7 linked regions of the Callithrix jacchus genome follow. The protein of the gene in region 5 purifies or fractionates together with the protein of the main gene of each other region. This does not show direct contact. Links are inferred from orthologs where the notes say so. Each region holds a gene or a part of one and is shown on either strand. Other genes may lie near its edges.

The links.
Region 1: the proteins of LRRK2 (region 5) and SSR4 purify together in Homo sapiens (co-immunoprecipitation; 3 studies listed by IntAct, with this or other methods). This does not show direct contact. The link is inferred for Callithrix jacchus from reciprocal best matches to the Homo sapiens genes LRRK2 and SSR4.
Region 2: the proteins of LRRK2 (region 5) and NCL purify together in Homo sapiens (co-immunoprecipitation; 3 studies listed by BioGRID and IntAct, with this or other methods). This does not show direct contact. The link is inferred for Callithrix jacchus from reciprocal best matches to the Homo sapiens genes LRRK2 and NCL.
Region 3: the proteins of LRRK2 (region 5) and YWHAE purify together in Homo sapiens (co-immunoprecipitation; 6 studies listed by BioGRID and IntAct, with this or other methods). This does not show direct contact. The link is inferred for Callithrix jacchus from reciprocal best matches to the Homo sapiens genes LRRK2 and YWHAE.
Region 4: the proteins of LRRK2 (region 5) and CDC37 purify together in Homo sapiens (co-immunoprecipitation; 8 studies listed by BioGRID and IntAct, with this or other methods). This does not show direct contact. The link is inferred for Callithrix jacchus from reciprocal best matches to the Homo sapiens genes LRRK2 and CDC37.
Region 6: the proteins of LRRK2 (region 5) and RPL23 purify together in Homo sapiens (affinity purification with mass spectrometry; 3 studies listed by BioGRID and IntAct, with this or other methods). This does not show direct contact. The link is inferred for Callithrix jacchus from reciprocal best matches to the Homo sapiens genes LRRK2 and RPL23.
Region 7: the proteins of LRRK2 (region 5) and DNAJA1 purify together in Homo sapiens (co-immunoprecipitation; 4 studies listed by BioGRID and IntAct, with this or other methods). This does not show direct contact. The link is inferred for Callithrix jacchus from reciprocal best matches to the Homo sapiens genes LRRK2 and DNAJA1.

The regions. Positions count from the first base shown.
Region 1 is NC_133524.1:149,711,522-149,715,652, reverse strand, and holds the start of SSR4 (translocon-associated protein subunit delta), read right to left. Parts: upstream 2,801-4,131; 5' UTR 2,715-2,800; coding exon of another isoform or gene 2,636-2,714; coding exon 2,569-2,635; intron 2,284-2,568; coding exon 2,203-2,283; intron 1,271-2,202; coding exon 1,152-1,270; intron 222-1,151; coding exon 147-221; intron 1-146. Other genes in the region: IDH3G (isocitrate dehydrogenase [NAD] subunit gamma, mitochondrial), read left to right, coding at 2,634-2,714. UniProt on the Homo sapiens protein: TRAP proteins are part of a complex whose function is to bind calcium to the ER membrane and thereby regulate the retention of ER resident proteins.
Region 2 is NC_133507.1:152,901,907-152,906,186, forward strand, and holds the start of NCL (nucleolin), read right to left. Parts: upstream 2,801-4,280; 5' UTR 2,661-2,800; coding exon 2,643-2,660; intron 2,231-2,642; exon of another isoform or gene 2,009-2,230; intron 1,572-2,008; coding exon 1,440-1,571; intron 317-1,439; coding exon 1-316. UniProt on the Homo sapiens protein: Nucleolin is the major nucleolar protein of growing eukaryotic cells. It is found associated with intranucleolar chromatin and pre-ribosomal particles. It induces chromatin decondensation by binding to histone H1.
Region 3 is NC_133506.1:66,853,282-66,857,356, reverse strand, and holds the start of YWHAE (14-3-3 protein epsilon), read right to left. Parts: upstream 2,801-4,075; 5' UTR 2,689-2,800; coding exon 2,625-2,688; intron 1-2,624. UniProt on the Homo sapiens protein: Adapter protein implicated in the regulation of a large spectrum of both general and specialized signaling pathways. Binds to a large number of partners, usually by recognition of a phosphoserine or phosphothreonine motif.
Region 4 is NC_133523.1:9,582,222-9,585,355, forward strand, and holds the end of CDC37 (hsp90 co-chaperone Cdc37), read right to left. Parts: intron 2,792-3,134; coding exon 2,609-2,791; intron 2,509-2,608; coding exon 2,437-2,508; intron 1,075-2,436; coding exon 919-1,074; 3' UTR 501-918; downstream 1-500. UniProt on the Homo sapiens protein: Co-chaperone that binds to numerous kinases and promotes their interaction with the Hsp90 complex, resulting in stabilization and promotion of their activity. Inhibits HSP90AA1 ATPase activity.
Region 5 is NC_133510.1:35,407,594-35,411,093, forward strand, and holds part of LRRK2 (leucine-rich repeat serine/threonine-protein kinase 2), read right to left. Parts: intron 2,731-3,500; coding exon 2,549-2,730; intron 397-2,548; coding exon 167-396; intron 1-166. UniProt on the Homo sapiens protein: Serine/threonine-protein kinase which phosphorylates a broad range of proteins involved in multiple processes such as neuronal plasticity, innate immunity, autophagy, and vesicle trafficking.
Region 6 is NC_133506.1:119,373,749-119,377,895, forward strand, and holds the start of RPL23 (large ribosomal subunit protein uL14), read right to left. Parts: upstream 2,801-4,147; 5' UTR 2,777-2,800; coding exon 2,764-2,776; intron 2,196-2,763; coding exon 2,112-2,195; intron 2,080-2,111; exon of another isoform or gene 1,944-2,079; intron 1,833-1,943; coding exon 1,704-1,832; intron 1-1,703.
Region 7 is NC_133502.1:140,224,980-140,228,479, reverse strand, and holds part of DNAJA1 (dnaJ homolog subfamily A member 1), read right to left. Parts: intron 1,182-3,500; coding exon 1,067-1,181; intron 1-1,066.

The sequences.
Region 1 (4,131 bases), on a different chromosome or scaffold from region 5:
GAGCCCTGCCTCCCAGTGCCGACACGGCAGCTCTCCAGCAGCCCGAACCCATGGCCCCTGGCCCTACTTGACCAGCCACCCCCGGGGCTTCATGTTACACCCAGGAGCAGGGAACAACACCAGCAAGGGCACCCTTGGCCCCTCACCTGATAACGTCCCACGTCCTGGCCCCGGGTGACAGGAAATTGTTTTCCACTGACGTCAGCATAGAGAGCCATGTTCTGGGTGAGGGGACAAAGGCAGAGTCACCTTCTGCCCTCTCCGGGTGTGTGGGCAGAGGAGCCCTGTGGACTGCTCACATGGCCTGCAGGTCCCTGGCAGGAGGTACCAGGGAACACTCACCAATCCCGTGACTGGCCCTCTGCATCAGCCTTCCCCTATGGGGCACAGGGCCCCCCATGGGCTGGCCTAAGTGGAACCATTAGGAACCCTGTTGACTGTGAGCAGGGGTAGGATGATAAAAATGTCCAAGCGATTTCCCTGAGTCTGCAAGGGAGGTCCTGGGGTCAGGGGTGCCTAGTGGGCTGGCCAAGGGGTGTTTAACTCTAAGAGGTCTGTACCCAAAAAAGGTCCAATTTCTTCTTTGGACTTATGGGAACACAGGTCAGAGGCCAAGGCCAAGGCTCCTCAATCTTGAAGTTACAACCCTCGAAAACCCATCTCTACCAAAAAATACAAAAATTAGCTGGGCTTGGTGATGAGCGCCTATAACCCAAGCTACTTGGGAGCTGAGGGGAGAATCGCTTGAATCCGGAAGGCAGAGGCTGCAGTGAGCCAAGATGGCGCCACTGCACTCCAGCCTGGGCAACAGAGTGAGACTCTGTCTCAGAAAAAAACAAAGAAAAAATAAAAACCAAACAAAACACCCACACAGAGAAACTGGCCAATGGCAACCGGGGCGGGTAGACCCCGGCCCTTTTTCCGGGTGCAGACACTTTCAGGAAACAGCGGGGTGTGAGCCCAGTGTTACGTCGTGTAGGCACCACAGACAAAGCAGGTGCGGAGGGTGACCTTGCATCGCTGTCTCCTGATCTCTACAGCACCCCAAGAGTTGGAATCCTTATTCCTCCTCTGTCGACACGGGTCCCCGTGTCAACTGCCGGTGAGGAACACCCCAACCTGTCCTCCTGGCTGAACCCCCACTGTCTCACCTGGACCCTGTTCTTGCACGTCAGGGAGATCTCCACGATGAAGACAGTCTCGGTGGAAATGACGGCGTCTGAAGTGGTGTAGTAGGAAGGGGTGATCTGGGGCTCCATGCAGGCCTCGGCTGCGGCGAAGAGGGAGAGATACCTGGGGAAGGCCACCTCAAGTGTGCCAGGCTGAGGGTAGAAGGCTGGGCCGGCCCTGCCTCACAGCTTGGCTCAGCTTGGGACCCACGGGATTCTCCTGCCCCTTCCAGGTGAGATGAGAGAGAGAACCAAGTGCTCAGTAAGAAATGCAGTGGCAAGAGAGGTGGGATTACTATGAAGGCGGCTTTCTGAAGGTGTGCTGGGGGCAGGTGGGGGCTGGATTCACTGGACAATGCATGCTAACACTTGGACCTATGACACAGAGGCCTGGGGGCTAGGCCAGCTTCAATTCAGAGCCACAAATAGCCTGGATGAGTACATCACGGGTAGAGGCTGCAGGCAGGTAGATGAGGGAAAGGGTCTCTGCCGCTGGCCATTTGACAGAAGGTCAAGACTAGCCCCAGCGTTTCCTGAGGAAGAAAACGGAACAGGCTCTGGTTCCAGAAGCACAGGTCTTCGGCCTGGCACTCAAGACCCTGCGCACCCCTTCGGCTCCCCATCTAACTCGCCCCACTCTTCCTCCCTCTCCTCACTGAGCTCTCTTCCTGGCTTATGTGGGTCCTCCAGCCCCGTTTTTGGCCGCGATCCGCTCAGCACTACAGGCTTTGCTCCTGTCCGAACCCGCAGGGAGAGGGAGCGGGAGCGGAGACATGTGCCGAAGCTGGGGGCCGGGCGCACTGCGGAGGCTCCGGGACTCCTCTTCGTCTGAGCAGACAAGGAAAAGCTTGGATGCCCGTAAACGTGCGTGAGGTGCTTTGGTCCCCAGGGCCCGAGGCAGCCTGCCTCTCGGAGGAAGGCCCGGCCCGCAGCGACGGATACCGAAAGGTCAGACCCCGTATCCCTCCTCCCCTCAACACCACCTGCCGTGGGTCAGAGGCTCGCCACAAACAAGACCCTGCCGGGCTGCTACCTGAGCAGTGGGAGAGGCCGGACAGCAGAAGCAGCGCCAGGGCGCCGAAAAATGCCGTCGCCGCCATCACCTCTTCTCTGACTAGAGGAAAAGAGAAAGAGCTCCCATGAACCCGAGGGGCAGACACGGAAGCGCGAGCGTAAGTGGCAGCGGCAGCCAATCATGCATCGAAGGGCCGGGCCGGCATTGTGACGTCGCTGGCAGCACTGACGTGGCCCCTCCCCGAGCCAGGGGCCCATCTGGTCACGAGCCCAACCCCAACAACATGGCGGCAGCGGCGCTCTAGGCGCCGCAAGGTGGCGTGAGAATCAGTGCGGTCGCGCGCGTGCGCAGTACGGGGCCCGCGCCTGCCCTCAGACTTTGCACACCGTCGAATTCTCGCGAGAACGGCGTCTGCGTGTCGGGACGTCCGGGGTTTCTCACTTTCCGTCATGGCGCTGAAGGTAGCGACGGCCGCCAGCGGCGCTGCGAAGGCAGTGCTCAGGCCAGCCCTTTTCTGCCGTCCCTGGGAGGTGAGCAGGGAAAGGGCCAAAGGACAGCGCAGCGCTCGCGAGGGAGCGGTGGGGTAGCCGTTCCCGAAACAGGCTGGAGTCCGATTGGCTGTGGGCCCCAACAGGGGCGGGGAGAGGGCTATGCTCCGGGGTTGATTGGCCGCCTCTGCTGTCACTGAGGGGATTGGCCGACGTTGGCCCTGGGCCGGCTCCCCCAGCGTGTCCGCCTCGCTGGCGGGGGGCTCCGTACAGGCGGAGGAGAGTGGGCCGTAGCGGCCGGGTGTCACCTCCTTAGTGTATTTCAAAGAGTCCTTCTGAGGCGGTCACATATTCCGGCCCGCCCTTCTCACACCGCTTCGGAAATCCGGTTGTGGGACTGTCTCTCCCCGGGTTCCCCTCTCGCGGACCGCTTTGCCACCTGTCACGGTGGCAAAAGAATTGGACTTTGCCAGTCATCGCCCATTCTCCCACAGTCTTAGAGCCCCAGATGCCTTTCCCCCGAGACGCCTGGAATGGAAGGGAACTAGGGTTTCTGAGGCTGCGGGGGTTTTGCTTCTGCTCTTCTCCGTCTGCTGTCTTACGTATTCGGGTCCAAGTCCTCTTTCCTTACGCATATTTAAGATGAGGTTGATTTAGGTCCTAGCTGGGCTGCAAACCATCTGAAGCAGCTGCTATCCAGCACTGGCCATGATGAGTAAGAAGTTTGACCTCTAAGCCATACTCCTCCACTGACCCACTGCGTGGCCTTACGCCAGTTCCTCTTCTCTTTGGGTTCCAGTTTCCTTTTTGGGACCCAGAGGGAAGGAAATTTCACATTCTCAAAGGATCCTGTCAACTCTGACCTACCAGAACTCGGTGACTTTGCTGCCACTCCCCAGGGACACCTCTACTTGCTGTGTTTTCTCCCTCTGACCTCTGGGGGAGACTGCTTATGCCTAATGAAATTCTTTTGACGTTGCTGATTTCTCCCACCTTGCTGCTGAAAGGATGGCCATATATAGTGGCTTTCCAGAGGCTCTGGTTGCTCCAGCAGCTAGGTGCCTGTAGGCTTTCGGTGAAGACATAAGCCTCCTCCCTGACCTCCCCTGTGTCTGTGTGTGCGTTGGGGTGAGAGTGGGGGACAGTGAATGGTCGGTATCTGGTCAGTGCCTTGCCTTGAGACTGACTATCCTGGGCATGAGAACCCTGAGAGAGAAACCCCAGGTCTTAGATCCCAGTGATTCAGACGCCTTGGGAAAACACACAGCCACCATTGGCATGTGGTCCAATAGAAATGTGCCAGAGAGAGAAACGTCAGCAAGCATAAGATGTGGGTTGTGGCCGCCCTTTCTTTCCGTGGAACTCCGAAAGGGTGATGGGAGAGCTGGAGGTGTGTGTGTATTAATCCTGCCTCACCTGGTTCCTTTGGTGGCTTCACAGGGAAGCCAGAGCACAAGGC
Region 2 (4,280 bases), on a different chromosome or scaffold from region 5:
CATCCTCCTCTTCATCACTGTCTTCCTTCTTGGCATTCTTGCCATTCTTTGCCCCCTTGGCTGGGATGGCAGCACCCTTCTTACCAGGAGTTGCTACCAATGCTTTGCCTGGTGTGGCTCCCTTCTTGCCAGGTGTGGCGACTGCTTTGGCCAGTGTAACTGTCTTCTTGGCAGGTGTTGCTGCTGCCTTTTTGCCTGGAGTGACAGCTGCTTTCTTGGCCGGTGGGGCAACTGCAACCTTTTTTGTTGGGGAAACTACCACTTTCTTTGCTGGGGTTGCAGCAGCCTTCTTGCCTTTCTTTTGAGGTATGACAACCTTGAGAATAAATGAAAACCAAACCAGTAAGAAGACAACCATGGTCCCAACTAGTGTTAGATTCTGTCAATGCCTATGGTTCAAGACCACAAGCCCTAGACACACGTTACCATGTTAAACTCCATATTATCAGGTGAATATCTAGGAATAAGGAACCCTTCTGAACACTTAAAATACCTCTGAATTCTCATACCTCATACTTTCCCAAATCCCAACTTTCTCACCTGAAAATGGTAATAGTATCATCCTTACATGTCTAAGGAACAGGAATTGCTATGTGTAAATTATTCACAACCGTACACATAGGAGGCTCCAAGCATTAACTGTTATTAAATCATCTGAGGCTCCTACAGTAGGTGCTGGTACCAAGCTTGGTGAAGCTCAATTCTTAAGATACGAGATGAAATGAAGATCAAATAGGCTGAATATCCCTTACAAAACGATGAATCCACCATTTAGCTACATTAATAAAGTCCCACTGAAATCTGCTTTTTGATTACTAGTTTTATCAGGCAATGTATGGAAAAGTAACTTTTATTCAATTCTCAAAGAGAAGTCTGAGCACAATTCAGTCCTCACTTGTCTTCATAGCGAACAAATAAATAGCCAGGAGTGCTAGAGGGTAAACGTTAACACAAAGGGCGGTGGCAGCCCTCAGTCTACACCAGAGACAACAGTAACACAGTGAGTAGTGTAATGGAATAGAGACCAATTAATCTTAAATGGAGCCTAGGAAAGGAATCTGGTAAGGTTATCCTCAGATCTGAATACAACGCCCAGCTCTGCCATTGAGAGAACAGATCTTTCCCTTGTGTCTAAAATGTGGGGGTGAGGATAACATGTTGAAACTGGACAAATGTAACGATTCAGCACAACAAATCACACTCCAAGCCCTGCAGAGGCACATGGAAAGGAGATCCCCAGATCTGTCTCAAACTCACATTCAAATATTTAGCCAAATGACATCTTGACATGAACGAAGAGCTTGTGAAACACTCGATCACTACAACAGGAGATACGCAGATGAATAAAATCTTATTTTTATCATAGACATCCAATTTCATGTCCTAACTCCCCATTTTGTAGTTTTAACTTAATTCCGCATTGAGTTGGATGAAATTACCTCTTCTCCGCTGCTATCATCTTCTTCTTCTTCTTCCTCTTCTTCTTCTGACATTTCCTCATCTTCACTATCTTCTTCTACCTCCTTTGGAGGAGGAGCCATTTTCTTGGGGTCACCTTGATTTTTACCTGCCTAAAATGGTAACAAGTACATCATCACATCTTCACTTCGACATTTCAGGCCATTCACGTTTTGCCATTACTGTTCAGTGTAAAACGCCATCATCTCCTTCCTCAGATCCATTTCTCATAGGGCCAAACAGCACAACTAACATAAAAACTAGCCCTAATGGCAATGCAAGAGGTCCTGCTCTCAACCGCCCACACATGTTTGCTGTCAGGCTCTACAAACAGAAAATCAAACCTACGGTAAAAAGTCAACCTGAAGAAGTGAAGAAATCATTTCTTCAGGTTGACTTTTTACCGTAGGTTTGACTTTTTTTTTTCCTTAGGCTTTCTAAGTACACCCGTGTTTTAGTACTTCAAATCCCGGAACCTTATTCTACAACCCTTATCCAAATCCAAATCCAAATTATGAGTGAAGATCATTAAGGCACTTAAAAAAAATACCTTGGTTTTCTGATGAACGTTATTCCTTTCCCAGCGAGACAACCCCGCCCCTAAAAGAGGCGGCGCGGCCACGTGGGGGTACCTGGTAGGCCACCACGTGCCCGAAACACCGCGGCAGAGCCACCTTCCGGGGCCCACCACGTGTCGGCTTGCCGGGCAGGGGCAGACATCCCGAGCGCAGCCGGTCCTCCGACTCGGGCCGATACCGCCATTTCCCACCCTAACGCACCACTCCCTCTGGAGATTCCCGGACCCACGCGGCGAGGCCCACGTGGCAGGCCGCGCTCCCGGGCACGTGCGTCAGGAGTCGGGTTCTAGCTCGTACGCGTCGCATCTCGTACGCGAGATGAGTCTGGTCTCATCTCCTTGCCCCGGGGCCTAGCGCCCCCTCCCCGCGCTCAGTGACTCTGTCTTTCCCGCCGCGTTCGCCGCCCCCAACACCTGCAGAAGCTCTTCACCTCGCCACCAAGTAGCCAGAAACCGCGAGACCTCCCCACTAATCGCGCGAGACTTCCCGCAGCATGGCGCCCTCGAACGCGGCCGGGACTGCGCGCAGGCCCTCCTCCCCGCGGCGCCGCGCTCACCCCTCGGAAAGCAGGCCTAGATCTCGGTGCTCGCACTCAAGGCCGCTTACCTTCGCGAGCTTCACCATGACGACAGCTTATGGCGGCGGAGTGTGGAGCGAGCAAGTGACGCAGATGAGCCCAGAGGGAGCCAAGCGACGGCGATGGCGGCCGCGGTACTGAAGATCCCGGAGCACGTACACCCTAAGGACAGCGAGAGCTCGAGACTGAGGCGAAAGACAGAGCCTGCCCAGTAATCGCCTGTGGAAAGACGACGACGACGCCCTCGTGACTCCGCGCCGGCCAACCAGAGCTCGCGGCCGTCCCTATGAGCCAATCGCGAGCTTCTAACCAAGAACGGCGCGGGGCTGGGAATGGGCGGGCCGAGACGGCCACGGGAGGGGGAGGTGCTGGCAGCAGCGGCGTGGGGGCGGGGCTCGCTTTGTGGAAGGCCCGCGCTGATTGGGCCGTGGGCGCGCGGGTCCCAGCCTGCGCCGTGGGACTAGCGTTTTTGGCGCCGGGTGTGAGGGGAGCGCGGGGGTGGTGTAAATCGGGCGGCCTTCGTTTCTCTAGCGTGGTTGCATCTCTAGACTCCGACAGCCCTGAGGTTCGAGGCCTCAGAGATCCCGCGCGCGGCCCCGGCACGCACTCACGCCGCGGCTCCCGGCAGCCCTGAGCGAGGAGCCCTCCAGCGCCGGAAGTTCAGGGACCGCGGAGTTCCCGTTGGCCCTTTCGGGGGCACAGCTTCGCCCTGATGCCCGCGAGCATGGGGCCGGAGACACCCTCGGCTCCAGGCAGCCTCCTGAGAGCTCTTAATAAAGGCAGTGGCGGGTCTGTGCGACGTTTTCTGTGAGAAGTGCACGAACCTCCCCTACCCCACAGAACCTCAGGCGGGAGGTATTTCTGGTCACGGGAAACAGCCTCGGAGAAGTAACTTTCTGGCCTCACATGGCAGGGAGAGGTGCCTGGGCGGGCTGACCGTAGAGCCGGGCCTCTGGCCGCCCACGGGTTCCCTGGTTGGTATTACGCGCCAGTTAAGGTGGTGGCTGCGAAGTCAGCGTCACCAGATGGCCCGGGAGCAGGTCGGGAGCCACCTGCAGGGCTCCCCCGCGGCAGAGCAGAGGAGGCCGCCAGGGACTTCCATGGGTCGCTTTGTGGGTGGGTCTCAGTCGGTGCCAGGCTTAGCAAACCAGAGCATTTCCCTCCGTCCAGGGCCTCCCTGAGATCCTTCCCATCCATAGATCCAGGTGTGGATCCGTCCATACTTCGTCGTTCCTACAGAACCAGGATACCTGCAGCTACGGCCGGACTTGTTTAAAAATCACCTGAGTCTGGGCGCGGTGACCCACGCCTTCAATCCCACCACTTTGAGAGAACGAGGCCCTTGAACTGGCACAGCGAAGGCTGCAGTGAGCCGAGATCGTGCCACTGCACTCCAGCCAGGGCGACAGAGCCGACACTCGGTCTCAAAAAGAAAGAAAATTACTTGTTAAGGCCGGGCGCGCTGGCTCATGCCAGTAATCCCAGTACTTTGGGAGGCTGAGGCAGGAGGATTGCTTAAGTCCAGGAACTTTAGACTGGCCTGGGTACAGTGCGACGCCCTCTCTACAAAAAAAAATAATTAGGGGGGCAGGGTGGAGCTCACCTGGAGTCCCAGCTACTCTGGAGGCTGAGGTGGGAGGATCGCTTGAACCCGGGAGGTGAGGTTG
Region 3 (4,075 bases), on a different chromosome or scaffold from region 5:
CCCAAACTTCAGTATTTCCTGTGACCCAAAATTGTCCTTTTCCTGAACACAACTTAACTCTTCCTCCCGTACCATTAAATAATCCATATAAATTGATTCCAATGCCCCAGGACAGAATTAAATGAGGCTACAAAGAAGTTTAGGCACTCGTTTAACACAGCAAGCAAAACAAAATAAACCTACTGCAGTACAGGGAGATAAGAGCGAAGGACAGCTGGAAAACCAGCACTTGCATACAAGCACCCAAAAAAGAAATCCTGCCAATACTCTTAGCTTCTTCCACCAGTCCCACCCCCTCCCCACACTTGATCAATTCCATTTGGTGACTAGAACTAAGGGAAAAACTTTTTGTCACCACAAACAAAAAAATATTGCCCTAAATAAAGGAATGGACAAAGACAGAGGCCGATTCCTGGTGTCTGTCTCCCCTCCCCTTTCTACTGAGTCCTTACCTTATGCCCAAGTCACAGGAAGAGCTCCTCACCTTGGAGATCTATTTTCCTACCGCTTTAGATGCTGAAAGGGACACCTAACATTAATAACTGCAATATTGTGGCCGTATCAAAGAATCCTACGTTCAAAACCCAATAAAGGTTCTGGTCAGAAATCCTCACGCCAAAATATAACTACAATAACCTGTAATTTATTTGGAAACTACAATCATAAGCTTTCCAATCGGTTTAAAAAAAAAAAACTCACATTCTTTCTAGTTACCACAGCCAGTTTAATTAAATAGCCCCAATCCCCACAAAACAGAAAGCATTCAAGTATCATTTGTTTCCTACGGAGAACACTAATAGATGAAGAGGGGAACATCTGGAGATGAGGGCGGAGGGGAGTCTTCCAATATAAGCACACCTATTTGTTTGATTTTTCAACACTGAAATAAAGAGAGCTGACCTTGAGCTGTACTTCCCCATTTTATCCCTTCCCTCCCCCAACAGCAACTTTGTTCAATACAAATAACAAAGAATTTACAAGACGAAATTTAGTTCAGCATATTTCGTATATTTGAGCTCTAGAGGACTTGTCTTATTTTCAAATCCCTGAATCCTCATTTCTGATAATGGGAACCAGCCCTGAGGTTATTCACATGACCAAATCGGCATTTCCAGGAAAGCAATGGCCCTCTGAAACATTTTGAAATATAGGTAGCTTAACCAGGAAAAATCTCACATCAAGGACACTAGATTCCAACCATGTCTCACCCCACCGTACCATGCAAAAGCATGAAAACCACAGCAGCCGCATACAGGACTTCTGGTTTCGGTAATACCACAGTATCGAAAAATTCTAAATGTGAGGGAAATTCAAGTCTACAGGTCAAAAAAGGTGGATGGGGGGGAGGATGAAGAAGAAACTTCCTGGCAGACACAATGGATATTTCGATCAAGTTCTGAAAGAGGACTGAAGAACCAATTAAGGGCAAAGGGACAATGAGCAAAGAGGAACTACTCAAAGTCCTACATAAACCCACTTATTTAAAATAAAAAATAATAATAAAAAAAAAGAATAGGACCTCCAACCTTCATAACTCAAAGACCCCAGGCCCAGCCGAGTGCCTGGAAGAGGCAAAGGTCCCCCACGAAGTACAAACCCGCATTTCGAGCCTGCAGAGTCAACCAAAATACAGTTACTAAACGCTACTGGAAACAACTTTATTTCAACAGGTCTTTTTTTTCCCATGTGTCATGAGGGTGCGGACAAACTGTAAAGTCATCGTTTTCCCAAACGCGAGGACGAAGGCTCGAACCCAGAGTCGCGCAGCCCCCTGGTCTCCTGGTTCCATCCATCAGAACCCGCTGCTGACGGAGCCAGAGAAAGGTTACAGGAACTTCGAGCTTCACCATTTAGAGCGCGGAAAAGGGGCGGGAGCCCGGATCTTCTGGACCTCCCCGGAAGGCGGCGAGGGGGGAAAAGCCCGAAACCCCTCACTCCGCGGCGCCGGCGGACGCAAAACAAACCCGACCGCGGCCCCGCAGCCCGCCACCGCCCAGGACCCAGAGCAGCGATGCTCGCTCGCCCGCTCCCCGCTGTCACCCAGGGCGGCCTCCCGACCCAGGCCCGAGGAAGCGCATCGCGTTCCAGGCTCTCCTTTGTGAGACTCCACGGCCGCCGCCCCACACGAAGCCTCCGGGGAGAAGCCACCGCCCCCACCCGCCATATTTCCCTGAAAGGCGCCCGCGCTACAGCTCCCGGTCTTGGCGCTCTCCCGTGTGGAGGGTGCTGCTTCCCCCGTCACCCTACCCAATCGTTCTCCACCTCCCAAGGCCGTCCCGGAAGCTTCCCTGGGGGTGGCCGGTTCCGCGGCAGCGCCCGCCATCTCCTCCCCCTCCCCCGCCCCGGGATTCGCCCTCCCCCCAGCCGCCATTTTACAACCAACTCCTCCACCCCGGCCTCTCGGCCCGCGAGGTATGTGTAGCTGAGGACAGCGAAGGGGTCACATTCCGGGGCACACGGCCTCCCGTCGCTCCGGGAGTTCCCAAGCCAGGTTCCGCTCCCCGAACCCAAGTCCCCGGGCCACGCTCGCGGACGATGCCGCCATTTTGTCTCCCGTTCCCGGCCTCTGTGGGCGGCGGCAGAGGGTCCAAGAATTCCAGCCCCCCGTTGCCCCCACAACTCACCGTCGTATCGCTCAGCCTGCTCGGCCAGCTTCGCCTGGTACACCAGATCCTCCCGATCATCCATAGCGGCAGCGGCTCCGGCAGGGTCTGCGCGACGGATGGAAACGGATAGTGTCTACGACTCTCTCAGCCTTTCGCTCCGCGTCCGGGCAGCAAAAATGGCGGCGCCTCAATCCGGGACTTCCGCCTGCGCACGCGGACAACTGCTCAGCTCTATGGCAACCGCTCCCTGGCAACTGGCGCGGGGGGCGGGTCCTGGAACCTGCGCCGGAGACGCCCCTCCTCCGTCCGCTCAGCGGGCGCCGGGGCCTAGAGGCGGGAACTGCGACTGCCGCGAGGGAGCGGCCCCCGGGGAACACGACGGCGGTGGCCAGGCCGGCCCGGGCTGCTCCTGAAAACCGCGGGCGCGAGACCTGGGCCAGACTGACGGCCGACGTCCGGCCTGCGGAAAACCACCACGGAGGCTGGGACGGTTTCTGTCATCATAGCAGGTCTTCCTGCCTGAAATCAGCGCTGTTTCTACCGCGCCCTGGTTTTCTTTTTCCTTTTTCTTTTTCTATTTTTTTGAGATGGAATTTCACCCTATCGTCCAGGCTGGAGTGCGATGGCGCGATCTCGGCTCCCTGCAACCTCCGCCTCCCGGGTTCAAGAGATTCTCCCGCCTCAGCCTCGCGAGCAGCTGGGATTACAGGCATGCGGCTCCACGCCCGACTGATTTTTGTACTTTTCGTAGCGAAGGGGGTTTCTTCATCTTGGCCAGTCTGGTCTCGAACTCCTGACCTCAGGTGATCCGCCCGCCTCGGCCTCCCAAAATGCTGGGATAACAGGCGTGAGCCACCGAGCCCAGCCAGCGTCCTGGTTTTCTCCGCCAAGCCTGGTCGTGGGCCTTTTGCAGACACTTTTACCCTCAGGGTAAAGAGCTGGGCCCTGGCCCCGGCGCGGTGACTCACTCCTGCCATCCTAGCAGTTTGGGAGGCCGAGGCCAGCGGATCACTGAAGTTGGGAGTTCAAGACCATTCTGGCCAACTTGGCGAAACCCCGTCTCTACTAAACAATGTACATATGAGGCGGGCGCGGTGGGGGGCGCCTGTAATCCCAGCTACTCCGGAGATTGACGCAACAGAATCATTTCAAACCGGGAGGGGGAGGGTGCGTTGAGCCAAGACGGCGCCATTGCACTCCAGCCTGGTCAACAAGAGCAAAACTCCATCTGAAAAAAAAAACAACACTGGGCCCTATTACAGTTGGCAGGGACAGGGGAGCTGCAGTTTTCACGCCTCCACTTTGCCCTCACACTCATCTTTATCTTCTCCTGTTTAACCTTTTTTCCCCAGAGGCTGCCATGAATGGGAGCAGGGAAATTGTTAGAAGAGGATGGTGTGGAGTACATAGTATAGAATAGTCGAACTGAGATCAATTTAAGATTGAGGAGGCAGGAATAACTCAGGGAA
Region 4 (3,134 bases), on a different chromosome or scaffold from region 5:
GTAGTGATCAGAGATCACACCACTGCACTCCAACCTGGGCAACAGCTAGACTGTCTCAACAACAAAAATGTTGGAGGGCAGCACTGGCCATAGGGCGGAGAGATATAGCCCAGGATGCTGCCCCAAATGATGGTAGGAAGCTCTAAGGGGGCAGCAGGGGCAAAGGTGGGCGTGGGCAGGCAAAATTCGCAAAACCCTAGAAAACGTGACTTGGTTTACAGATCACTGCTGCCCTCTGGCGGTGATCAGCTTGGGCAACCCTGTATTCTGGAGGTCAAAGTAGGGACAGGGGAGTGGGTGGGTGAGAACTGAGGGTGGTAGGCTTCTAGGGCCTCTGGAGGAAGACTGTTCAAAGTGGTGGAGCAGCATGTGTGAGGCAAGGACCCACAACGGCTGGAGGGCAAAGGACTAGAGTACCAAGACCCAGCTTCCAATATTCCACCAGGATTCACTCCCACCCACAAGAGATGGGCTGCCTGAACAGCCCTCACAGCAGCCCAGAGCATCTGAAATCCTTTATTGGAACATCACTGCTGTTTGCCAAATAAAAGACACAGACAGCAGACAAACAGTGAAAACAGAGCCCAGTGACCAGAGCCGACCCCTTGGCTGGGGACCCTCCCCTACTACCTGATGGACCAGCCTGGCGACCTCTGCCCCTCCCCGGACCCCCGGGCCTTTGGCATAATGCTGATGGGGGGCTGCAGGCAGTGAGGCCCCTTGACTCAAAGCAGAGACTTGAATGGGCACTGGAGAGTGGGGACAGTGGAGAGGGCAGGGACGGTTGGGTGGGCCCCCCAGGCTGGGCCGAGCAGCGCAAGTGGAGGAGGCCAGGAGCAGGGGAGATGGCATCTATCTGTTTGCTGAAAAGGGGCGCATAGGGGCCTGCAAGCAGATGGTGGTGGCAGCTGGGGCAGGTCACACGCTGACATCCTTCTCATCACCTGTCTTGGGAACAGCTTCCAGCAGCGGGTCCCTGGGACCCGCCTCCTCCCCCTCCTTGGCCTCGCTGGCCTTAGAGTTCGGGACCCAGAGGCCGGAGTCAATGCAACGCTGCATGTGGTACTTTGCGTCCTGCAAGGAGAAGAGCAGGCAGGTGAGGCAGGGCTGCCACCTGGTGGCCACCCTGTTGTCCCCTGCACATTCCCAAGCTGGCTTCCTGCTCATTTTATTTTACTAATTTATTGATATAGAGACCGTCTCACTCTGTCTCCCAGAGTGGAATGTAGTGGTGTGATCTCGGCTCACTGCAACCTCTGCCTCCCAGGTTCAAGCAATTCTCCTGCCCCAGCCCCCAGAGTAGCTGGGATTACAGGCGCCTGTCACAACGCCTGGCTAATTTTTGTACTTTTAGTAGAGATAGGATTTTGCCACATTGGCCAGGCTGCTCTTGAACTCCTGACCTCAGGTGATCTGTCTGCCTCAGCCTCCCGAAGTGCTGCCCAGCTGGTACTTTAAATTTTATTTAACTTTAATTTAAATTTAGATAGTGCAATCTAGAAAAAAAGCCAGCAAATTTTTTTGGTAAAGGGACAGACTAAGTATTTCTGTTTCCGCAAGCCATATGGTCTCCGTCACGACTCAACTCTGCTGCGGTAGAGCAAGATCGGTTGTAGGTGATAGGGAAACAATTGAGCGTGGCTGCTTTGTTCCAATAAAACTTTATTATAAAAGATAGGCAGTGAGTCCTCGAGGTGCAGTTTGCAGGACCTGGTCTAGGTGGCTATGCCCATAGAAGCTTCTAGAACCTCAGGGCCAGTCCTGCAACTAGACCCATTTTACAGATGAGAAAACCAGTGTGGCCAACCAGTGAGCCAAGTGGTAGGAACAGAGTTAAAGTGTGTCCTACTTAGATTCAAACTCTATTACCACTTCCAAAATTATAGCCAGTGAGACCCTGTCTCTATAAAAACATATGTTTTTAAAAAGTTAGCCGGATGTCATGGTGTCAGCCTATAATCCCAGCTACTTGGGGAGGCTGAAGTGGGAGGATCACTTCAGCCTGGGAGGTCAAAGTTGCAGCCAGGGTAAGAGAGGAAGACCCTGTCTCTCAAAAACAAGCAGTCAAAACCCTATTAACATCCAGCATTTACCAGTCACTGCCATGTGCTCGGCTCCCCTCCCCAAACATTTTGTGGGCTGATATTGAGAGAAAACGTGGTCTGGATAAGGAAACTGAGGCTGGACGCCATCACAGCAACAGTGACTGTCAGTCACGAGGGACATGCACTGAAAGCTCAGCAATCATCTGCTGGATGTTGGGATACAGTAGGTGCTCAATAAATATGGGTGTATGCCAAGGTGACGTGACCCCCCCTGACTCCTTGGAGAAGCCTCGGAGGAGTACTTTCACCAGCCGGCTTCAGAGACTTGGGACCCAGGGCTGGGGGAGACACATTGCCTGCTGGAAAGGCATGGAGGGCCAGGGTTACTCACGGTGGGGTCCATTTTGCTGATGGCGTCTTGCAGCATTTGCACATCCTTCACATCGAAGCACTTCTGGAGTTCCTGGGGGTGCAGAGGAGCTGGGGTCAGGGGCTGGGTCCCTGTGGCCCTGGGGGTCTTGCTCAGGGCCCTCCTGCTGCCCGCCTGGCCTGGGGAACCGCACCTCCGGGAGGGACTCGTAGACCTCAACAGGGTCCAGGCCGCCGGGGCCAAGTCGCTTCTTGCGCTCCTCCTCCTCGTATTCCTTCATGGCCTTCTCAATGCGCAGCTTGGCACGGCCCCGCACACGCTCCTTGAAGGCTTCCAGCTCGTCGTTGAAGCCCTCCATGTACTGGCGATCCGCTGTCTACGGGGGTTGGGCAGTGCTCACTGGACCCAGCCCAATGCTCAGAAGGGACTGGGGAGCCCAAGACCCTCCAGCCGCAGCTCCTCAGAGGCGCTTCAGAGGCATCCCAAGTCTGTTCCTGACCTACATGAGGGGGTCCCTAAGTCTTGGGCTCCCCCAGCCAGGGACCTCATCTGGCATTTGCTAAAGACCACCTGCTTGGGAGCCCTGCTGTACCGCAGATGTGTGACACTCACGTCCTCAGTGTCCCTGCATAGGCGCCTCTAACTTAACATAGCCACCTCCCAGCCTCTGAGTGTCCCTCCAGCCTGCCTTGTCCTTGGTCTCCCCAATCTTGGTAAGA
Region 5 (3,500 bases):
TTCTTCTCCATTCTGGAGGCTGGAGTAAAATGAGGAGAAGTGAAGGGCTTTGGAATAATTCCATACAGTCTACCAGTTCTCTGGATATTAGAACAGAAAGCTCAGTTTTTTTAAACCCTGTTTATAACAAGTGGTAAAAGTGAATTTTAAAATTCTATAGAAATACCTGCAAAATCCCACACATTTAGAACGAGGTCTCTCTTTCTTTTGCCTCTTATTTGGATAGGCCAGTCTTTCACATCTATGCCAACTGTGGCACTCTGCATTCCAAGATCTGATTTCTTGATTTTCATTAACTGTTGCAATAAGGTGGTTTTACCACTCCCAGTATTTCCCACAATCATTAGTTTCATTCGGTTATAGGGTACAGCCTTTTTTAACCGCTGTTGAAGAAACCTAGTATTTGAAAGATAAAAATAAAATAATAAACCGCTTAAAAGTACATGAGATTTAAGTGAGTTGTTTTGCATGTAACACTATTCTAAGATATAGTTTCTAAAAGAGCGCATAGCTCATATAACTAATAATGAGTTATATAACTCATTAGTTATATATATATATAACTAATAACAATACGCCTTTCAGTGTATTGTTAATGCATATATTTTGCTAGAGATTTTAGTGTAGTTGATAGTGTTTGGTAGAATTACCAATATAACATGTTACACTACCACCAGAAATAATCAAAAGGCCAAAATGTGTTTCCAATACTAATCAGCATACAATACGCAATATGTATACATCTATATATACACACATATACATACATATGTGTATACATATTTGAATTTCTTTTAATAGTATTAAAAACCTTATAAAGTATAAAATTTCACAAAGTCCATATGACATAAAAACAAGATAAAAATATGTATACTGTAATAATAAACCTTGATAAGGTCATATTAGTTCTACATGTGTCTATATGGTCATATGTAGAATATAGGATGTATAGATAGATATATTTCACAAATGCATATAATAGTATATACAGATAGTGAGATCATATTACATCATACATAAATACATATAAACTATTATACTATCAGAAGATGTTAACATGGTTTCATTCCTAATGATCTTAACATAAAAACTGAACTAAATAGAAGTGTTTAGGTAGCTAAAAAATGACCTTTAAACTAACAGTAGATTTAAAGTGTTATCAAAAATATAATAAAAATAGAAAGACATATTTTGAAATATGTTAAAGTGTTGCCGCCATTTAAAATTAGAGAAAACCTAAATAAAAAATGAATTTTACATCGGAGTAGTGACCGATCTCTGACCAACATTTCTGATGATATAACTGAAAAGCAACATTACTTTTCTTCATTTTTTATTTCTTAAGATGGCAGCACTATTTGAAATATGTCATTCTTCAAAAAGCAAATGATGCCTACAATTTCTAATCCGCTCTAGGGTCTTTCTGTCTTTCCTGAAAACCTTAAACATGTTTAAAATATTTAACATATTTAGTTATGTAGCTTTAAAATACAGCATAATACACTGAAAGCTAGTTCTGCTAAACGTTTAGTAAGAATTGAACCAATTTTTATATGGCCAACTTTTCCACTTTCAAGAGGGAAAAATAATTGTGTAAAATGAAGGGTAGTCACTTTTAGCACAAAAGTTAAACTCTTTCCTTTACAATGAAATGAAGCTCAAGAATTCAGAAAACCAAATCCTTCCTCATAAAAAGATATAAAGTTAAATATAAATTTAAGAGACTTTAGGCGGAAGAGAATGAGTAAGCATAAAACACAGGTAATTAAACAACTATTAATTCTATGCCAGGCACTGTGTTTGGTGCCAAGATTTGAATAGTGAGTGAACACAGCCATGGTCTCTGCCTTGGTGCACATTACAGTCTAGCTGGGAGGTGACGACAGAGCTGAGGTCTGCAATGTTAATACAGTAACTGTGGGAAAGGGAGCAAAGGATTTTATGAGAAAATAATAAGAACAATGTGCTGAAAGGGAACAAAAAGTGGGATAAAATCCATTATTAAAGATATTTAAAGTGTTTCAAGTGTAAAGACCAGAAACAGCGATACTTGAGAAGTTTTGGTAGTTTCAGAGCTGATCAAGGTGAGTAGATTACTCATCCTAATGAGCAAAATAGAAGTTAGTGATTTCACATGATGTCAGTAACTATAATGCTTTAAGATGTAAGAGGCATATGTTTACTAGTTGCTATATGAAATACAGTGTGATAAGTTATTATACCGTGCCATATTTCTTTAGATTGTGTAATTGGTAACAAGAGACCGAATAACAATACATATTTTCTTTCAGAGTCTACTCCACTAAAAAGAAAGAGAAGGCAAAAAAGTCACTCTCAATGTTACCTGGCTAAGAAGAATGAAAAATCTCTACAGTGGCACCATAGAAACACATTCACTAAATGAAAGGCAAATGACACATAGCACATTAATGTCCAATATTACTATTGATTTTTTTCCCTAAAGCATAACAATATATGTCCATCGAAGTCACAGAGTGGAAATCTGAAATAAATTTGATAAAAACAAATAGAAATTAAATAATCAAACCTTATGATGTCTTTGGCTTTACATCCTATGTGTTTAAAATCAAAGTTAAGACGTAGTTCATCCAAAGGAAGGTCCCATATTTTGCTTAATTTCCCCATTTCATTGGGAAAGGATCTTAGTTCCAAGTTGTAACTGACATCCAGAGATGTCAGATTTTCAAGACAGCCAATCTCAGGAGGAATCTTAATGGAATAAAAAAGGGCAAAACCTGTTGGTGGGAAGTAAGAAATGTGTTCTGCCAAAAAATAGATGATAAGCAACAAGAAAGGCTCACAGATTCCATCAGCAGCTTGCACGAACTTTCAACAGAGTTCTAAAACTTTCCAAAGGCTTGTCAGAAGTTGTCAGTATGTGTTTAAAAACATAAAAACTTATATCTAAAACCTTACTCCCAAACAATCTAAGTCACTTATCTGTAATCTTTAAAAACCCAATCTCCTTTGGTAACATACTTCATCTCTTCAAGACATTGAAAGTAAGGAATTTCTCACCACAAAATGGATTTGGTTATCCAAATCCATTATCTGTGGCTTCATTCTGCTCCTTCAGTAAAGGCAGGAAAGCCTAGTCATCACAAACTTGCACGCAACTTAGTGTTCTCAAAGTACAGCGACATGCTTATAATTTAGGCGGCATCCTAATTGGAGTGCTTTCTTCTCTGTTCAGATCTTTAAGCAATATATATTATAATAGAAAACAGAGCCAGGCGCGGTGGCTCACGCCTGTAATCCCAGCACTTTGGGAGGCCGAGGCTAGTGGATCACGAGGTCAAGAGATCCAGACCAGCCTGGTCAACATGGTGAAACCCCGCCTCTACTAAAAATACAAAAAATTAGCTGGGCATGGTGGTGCGTGCCTGTAATCCCAGCTACTCAGGAGGCTGAGGCAGGAGAATTGCCTGAACCCAGGAGGCGGAGGTTGTGGTGAGCCAAGATCGTGCCATTGCACTCCA
Region 6 (4,147 bases), on a different chromosome or scaffold from region 5:
CATATTTCTGTACTTGTTACTTATAGATATTAAGTTCCAAGGGGAGGGGATGTATTTATTTAGCAGAAACAAGGACCAAAAAAGACATTAACCAGAACTGGAAACTCACAACTAGTTTTAAAACAGAAGTTGGGCATAGTGGCTCACGTCTGTAATACCAGCACTTTGAGAGAGTGAGGTGGGCGAATCACATGGTCAGGAGAGTTCGAGACCAGGCTGGCCAGCATAGTGAAACCCCATCTCTACTAAGAAAAATAGAAACAATTAGCGTGTGATGGTGTGTGCCTGTAATCCCAGCTTCTCAGGAGGCTGAGGCAGGAGAATCAGGTGACCCCAAGAGGCAGAGGTTGCAGTTAGCTGAGATCGCACCATTGCACTCCAGCCTTGGCGAAACTCTGTCTCGAAACAAAAAAAAAACCACTTAAGTGTTCGGAGCTCTGGTCTGTTCCACCACTGACTAAAACCAACAATCCACTCTCCTGCCATCTCATCCACAAAGTGATGGCCATTTGCTCTACTCTTCTCTGATAGCTTCCTGGGCCACCAGTCAGACCCAGGAAGTATTCTGAGAAGAGAAAAAAGCACAACTGCTAAATCACAATTACAGTGCTACCAAGCCCTCAAATGGATATTAATGGTGAACAGAAAAAGATTTCTTTTCTCTCCCCCGCCACTTTTTTTTTGAGAGGATGTCTCACTCTGTTGCCCAGGCTGGAGTGCTGTGGCACGGTCTCAGCTCACTGCAACCTCTGCTCCTGGGTTCAAGTGATAATCCTGGCTTAGCCTCCTAACTGGGTAGGAGGCGCCTTCTACCATGCCCAGGTAATTTTTTGTATTTTTAGTAGAGACAAGGTTTCACCATGTTGGCCAGGCTGGTCTCGAACTCCTGACCTCATGGATCCACTTGCCTTGGCCTCCCAAAGCACTGGGATTACAGATGAGAGCCACTGTGCCTGGCTACAAAAAAAAAATTTCTTATTTATTTATTTATTTTTGAGATGGAATTTCGCTGTTGTTACCCAGACTGGAGTGCAATGGCACGATTTCAGCTCACCGCAACCTCCGCCTCCTGGGTTCAAGCAATTCTCCTGCCTCGGCCTCCTGAGTAGCTGGGACTACAAGCGCACACCACCATGCCCAGCTAATTTTTGTATTTTTAGTAGAGATGGGGTTTCACCATGTTGACCAGGATGGTCTCGATCTCTTGACCTCGTGATCCACCCACCTCAGTCTCCCAAAGTGCTGGGATTATAGGCGTGAGCCACCGCGACCTGCCACAAAAAAAAGATTTCTAACCCAAGGGCTAAAAAAATCTACTGGAGAGCATCGTGGGGCGGAGTAAGTGTATTACAAGGCTGACAAGTCAACATCTTATTTGTAAATCAAGGAATGGCTAGGAAATCTTTAGAAAAGCAAGACATCCCAGCAAAGAGACGGACTAACTAGGCACAGGGTTTAAAAAAAGTTCAAGAGCTGAAATTAAAGCACATCAAATACCAGCAGTTCTAGAGCCAGACAGGACACAAGCTGCAAATATGGAAGTGACAAAATGATGGTCCTCCCAACACAGTCTGAGCAAAAACTTATTTATTCTCACACTGCCTCTCCACGGAAAACAAACTTGGAAACTAACCCCTTTTCCAATAAAGGAAGAAGTCCCCCCACTACCCATCTGTATTAAGGAGGGCTCAATGTTTACTCACCCTTTTTTCTGAGCTCTGGTTTGCCTTTCTTGACTGTGGCCATCACCATGTCACCGACACCAGCAGCGGGAAGTCTGTTCAGCCGTCCCTTGATCCCCTTCACAGAGATGATATACAGGTTTTTGGCTCCTACAAAAGGATGCAAACAAAAATCACAAAATGTTGAGGGCCGATCAGGCCGTTGCGTCAGTATAACATTTCCCAAACACTCACTGCCGAAGCAGTTAGTCCCCAAGAGCGCCTTGTCACACCACTGATTGAAGCAAAACAACACATCATGCTGTCACTTCACCCAAAAGCGGTGTTTCCATTCTCCCCTTTCTTGACGGCTCAGTAGGTCATTAGCCACAGGCCCACTGAGTGCTTTTAAAAAGGGGGAGTATAGCAGCGTGCAGTCAAAGACCTCACCTGTGTTGTCAGCACAGTTGATCACAGCTCCTACCGGAAGACCCAAGGAAATCCGGAATTTCGCACCAGAGGACCCACCACGTCCTGTGGATATACAGGGAAGGGAAACAGGATAAAGAGACCACTATCTAGACATGGGTCCGAGTTCCTCCTCATACACTCCGCACATGCTTTGATAGACTGTACTACAGATTAGCCCTCTCGAATTTTACTTATGCCGTCCCCGTGTGCCACCCTATTCTCACGGGAGGTAGCCATTTCTCACTATTACCACTCTGACATCGAAATTAAGGAACTGGAAGACTCAGCCCTTGCTCCAACTTTCGCAAAAACTCAATTACCTCTGCAAGGCAGAAGACCGCAGAGATCTCGAAAACCAGGGTCTAACCCAGTCTAACTTCAACCCCATTACGCCCTATTCGCGGAGCGAACTCGCTGGATCCAGGCTACAGTCGAGATCCTGCCATCTCAACTCTTAAGCACCCCAGTGCCACTTTCGGGGGTCCTGGCGGTCCTCTCGCGGTAGCCTAGCTCTCCATCTCGGGCCTGAAGGAGAGCACAGCGCCCCAGCTGCCTAGAGCTACCGCTCCCGATGAACCCGCCAGGCACTGCACGACAGATGGTGGAGGATCCTCCAAAAGTAAAACCTCACCTCGCTTCGACATCTTGGACGCCGGAAAGAGAAAAAGGAAGTAGCTTCAAAGGATACTGGGATATGAACTTTGATGCCCCACCCACTCTCGTCACGTGACCGGAGCTTAACCCCTCTTTGGGCGCTGCCTTATTACGTAATAGGTTAACTACGTCGGTTTGATTCATCTCTGGAAGTGGGCGTTGAAGTAGAAGTGCAAGAGATTGGAAGTCTCTTCTCTACGAGCTTAAAAGTAGTTGTAGACGTGGAAACAGTGATTTGTTGTTATCTTGCTTACGTCCTCTTTTGAGCACTTAATACGTGCCAGGCACTTATCTGCACACTAGAGAATAGGAATTAAAACACAGTTTGTGCCGTGTGTGGGGTCCCCAAGGAACACTCTAAACGGCTCTTGAGTAGTGCTATACAGATCATTCCATCTATGTGTGCTTGGTACCATACCATTCTGTATTTTACATATACTGTATTGCTCTATTGCCCTCCCTCCCGTGTTTTGTTTTTGTTTTTGTTTTTTTTTCTTTCTCTTTTTGAGACGGAACCTCCCTCTGTCGCCCAGGCTGGAGTACAGTGGCGCGATCTTAGCGTACTGCAACCTCCTGTTACCTGGAAGCCACCTCCCCACTTCCAGTCTTCCTGCCTTTGCTTCAACTTGTCCCGCCTTTCCAGACCGAAACAATGTACTTCTTACATATATTGATTAATGTCTCATGTCTTTTTTATACCTAAAAGGTATAAAACCAAGCTGTGGCCCGATGATCTTGGGCACATATCATCAGAACTTCCTGAGACTGTGTCACAGGAGCAACCTCGACCTTGGAAAAATAAACTTTCTAAATTAATTGAGACCTGTCTCCGATTTTCTGGATTCACACAATTAAAAATAGAATGAGGCCGGATGTGATCGCTCATGCCTGTAATCTTAGCACTCTGGGAGGCCAAGGTGGGCAGATCACCTGAGGTCAGGAGTTCGAGACCAACGTGGCCAAAATGGCGAAACCCCGTCTCCACAGAAATACAAACATTAGCTGGGCATGGTGGCAGGTGCCTGTAATCCCAGTTACTCGGGAGGGTGAGGCAGGAGAATCATTTGAACCAAGGAGGTGGAGGTTGCAGTGAGCCAAGATCGCACCATTGCACTCCAGCCTGGAATATACAGTGAGTCTCTGTTTAAATAAATAAATAAGGCCAGCGCGGTGGCTCACGCCTATAATCCCAGCACTTTGGGAGGCTGAGGCGGGTGGATCACGAGGTCAAGAGATCAAGACCATCCTGGTCAACAAGGTGAAACCCCATCTCTACTTAAAATACAAAAATTAGCTGGGCATAGTGGTACACGCCTGTAGTCCCAGCTACTCGGGAGGCTGAGGCAGGAGAATTGCTTGAA
Region 7 (3,500 bases), on a different chromosome or scaffold from region 5:
AATTTCTGTATTTTTAACAGAGATGGCATTTCACCATGTTGGCCAGGCTGGTCTCAAACTCCCAACCTCAGGTGATCCACCTGCCTTGGCCTCCCAAAGTGTTGAGACTACAGGTGTGAGCCACCACCAGCCAAAATATTAATAATTCTAAACAAGTTTAAGATGTTCCCAATTTCACCTCCAGTCCACTTAAAAAAAAAAAAAAAAGATGGGCTCTGTCACCCAAGCTATAATGCAGTGGCATGATCATAACCTTCAACTCCTGAGTTCAAGCCACTCTCCTGCCTTGGCCTCCCCAATAGCTAGAATTCCTGGCCTCAAGTGATCCTCCCACCTCAGCCTCCCAAGTTGCTGGGAATATAGCATACACAGAGGGTCTGTTATGTTTTGATATTAGCTGTGAATATATTTAACACAAACATTTGCTATTAACCATCAGTCTTTCTTGTGCTTCAGTGTTAAGTTCATCATAAACTTGGTATTATTTAGTTCACAATGGTAGACCTGAATTTTTTTTTTTTTTTTTTTTTTTAATTGTGTTGATGCTCTTTACCATTTGGTATGTTTTTGGAGTGGACCTGAATTTATACTTAAATATTGAGTTCTAATTTAAGTTTCCTACAGAGATGCTTTTGGGTATTTACAATTAAAAGCAATTCAATTTATCTTAAACTTAGGATTGAAAATTGGTGAAAGCTTTAAGGCACTTACTTTAAATTGTTTTACAAAAACTGAGGGCAAACTTTTGTCCAGGGATGTTTTCCCCCAGCCATTTGGTGTTTAGGTTCACACAAAACATCTAACTGAAACACATTTTCAATGTTCCATACTCAAGAGACAAAAAGCTAAAAATCTGATCCCATGTATTCAAGCTCTTATGATTCAAACAATGGTTAACAATCTATTACAAGATACATTATACACAGTATAACTGTCTTGCTATATTTTCCTAGCATATCTCCAGGAAATATGTTGCAACAGTAATGGTAAACACATTATAAACAACCAAAACCAACAACCCAAATATGTAAAGATGTCAATTTGAATGGTTTATAAAATTCTTTACCGAGTAAAAACAGCATGGTCCTTCTGATCTAACACAATGATTATATCTCCTGGCTCCAGTCCTGGTTCTTGGTCTCCTTCACCATGGAATGTTATCTTCTGGCCATCTTTCATGCCTTAAAACATTAATTTTATACTCTTAAGGTCAGAATAATAAAATCTATACATAGATGTTTATGCATAAAAATCACAGAAATGACTAAGAAAGCCCACTTTCTTAGTAGTTCAGTCCAATCTGTGCCTGAAGAAAGGTATCATAGTGGGAAATACAAACTCTAGAAGCAAGGACCAGCCTTCAAATCTCAGGGCTGCTATTCACTGGCTGGATTACTCTGGGAAAGTAAGCTGCATATCCTACCCAAGTTTCAACTTTCCCACACCAACACATTATGATTGTCAAGTGTATCAACTAAACAGTTATAAGCTGGTACTAAACCAGTGACTGGCAAACATTGGTTATAACCAAAAAATGTTAATTAACTATTTCAATTTCATTACTTATAAGAACATATCAAACTACTTAAGTCTAACAGCAATGTAAATCAAGACCCTTCTCACTGTTGTAGTATTTATATATATGAAACTAGAAAAATTTAAAATCTATAATCTTAATTCTTGAGATAGGCTATTGCTCTGTTGTGCACGCTGGAGTGCAGTGGCACAAACATGGCTCACTGCAGCCTTGATCTCCTGGGCTCAAGTGATCCTCCCACTTCAGCATCCTGAGTAGATAGGACCACAAACCAGCTAATTTTTGAATTTTTTTTAAAATAGAGATAGAGATTCTCATTATGTTGCTCAGGCTGGTGTTGAACTCCTGGACTCAAGGGATCCTCCTGCCTTGGCCACCTATAGGGTTAGGATTATAGGTGTGAGTCATGGTGCCTGCCAAAAATTCGTATTTTTGTGTAAGAACTATTCAGTTTGGCCGAGCACGGTGGCTCAGACCTGTAATCCCAGCACTTTGGGAGGCAGAGGCGGGCGGGCAACACGGTGAAACCCCATCTCTACTAAAATAAAAAAAAAATTAGATGGGCGTGGCAGCATGTGCCTGTAGTCTCACCTACTTGGGAGGCCAAGGCAGGAGAATTGCAAGAACCCAGGAGGCGGAGGTTGCAGTGAGCTGAGATTGTGCCACTGCACTCCAGCCTGGGCAACAGAGCAAGACTGCATCTCAAAACAAACAATAAAACAAACAAAAAAAACCTATTCAATTTGTTCCCCTTAAAATTACACTTTGGGGAGGCCGAGTCAGGAGGCTAGCCTGAGAATAGCACCCTGGACCACAGGAGTTCGAGACCTTGTCTCCTTTAAATTAACAAAAAAAAAAAAAAAAAAAAAGAAAAAGAAAAAGAAAAAAAAAATCAATCAAAACTAGACACTCCCTTAGCTCATATGGTCCATAAAATACAAGGAGAGTATTTATTTTCTAACAGGGCAAGAAATTTTTAAACAGGCTTTTTTTTTAAAAAACTAAGATTTCCCCAGCCCTCACCTCTGACCCACATATTTTAGTTCAGTAAGGGTTTGGACAACATTTCTTAAAACATAACTGGTGTAAGAAAACCTGTGTTTGTACAGTATTACACCGAAGCAGTTATCTCCTGATTATTTCCTGAGATCACTCTGGTTATCTAACAGAGCAATCTTGTTTCACCTTTTAGTATGGAAAATATTAATCCTGTATAAACAGAGCCAACAGTACAATGAATTTCTACATATCCATTCAATCTGGCTTCAGCAGTTATTAACTCATGATTAATATTTCATGTATTATACCCCTGCCCATGCCCCCCACAAATACTTTCAAGTAAACCCCAACCATAACCATTAACCCAAATACTTCACTGTTTACCTCTTATATAAAGACTTAAAGCAATATCAGTATCATACACTAACAAAATTAAACAATCTGTCTTTAATCGCCTATCCATGCAAAATAACTTGTTATGCTAGTGAAGCAATTAAACTCAGCTAGGTTTTCCTGAATAAAAACAAGGATAGGCATAGCACAAATGTCTTCACTTGCTACATAGTTAGGGTATTAATTTAAAGTCCTTGCTTAGTGTCCATCATTGATAGGTTCTTGGAAATTGCTTTAAATGAAATGACACATAACAAGACCATTTTTCCCCCTCCCCTGTGTTATAGTGACATGACATTGAGATCAATTTGCCAGAAGTCCCAGTTTCCAAGAACCTATCAACAACATTAAGTGAAGACTTACTCTATATGCTATTGGTATCAAGAACACCTCAAAATATAAACCCTAGGCATGGGCCCATTAAGGGGAAAACAGATTTATTAAGTTCAAAAACTGGCCAAGGAAACTTACTTTTACATTTCAATGCACTACATTCTTAGGTGGAAAACCTTGGGGGATCAGAGAGGCCAGTATCATGAGTCATGTGATAGAATCCTATTGCAGCCACTTA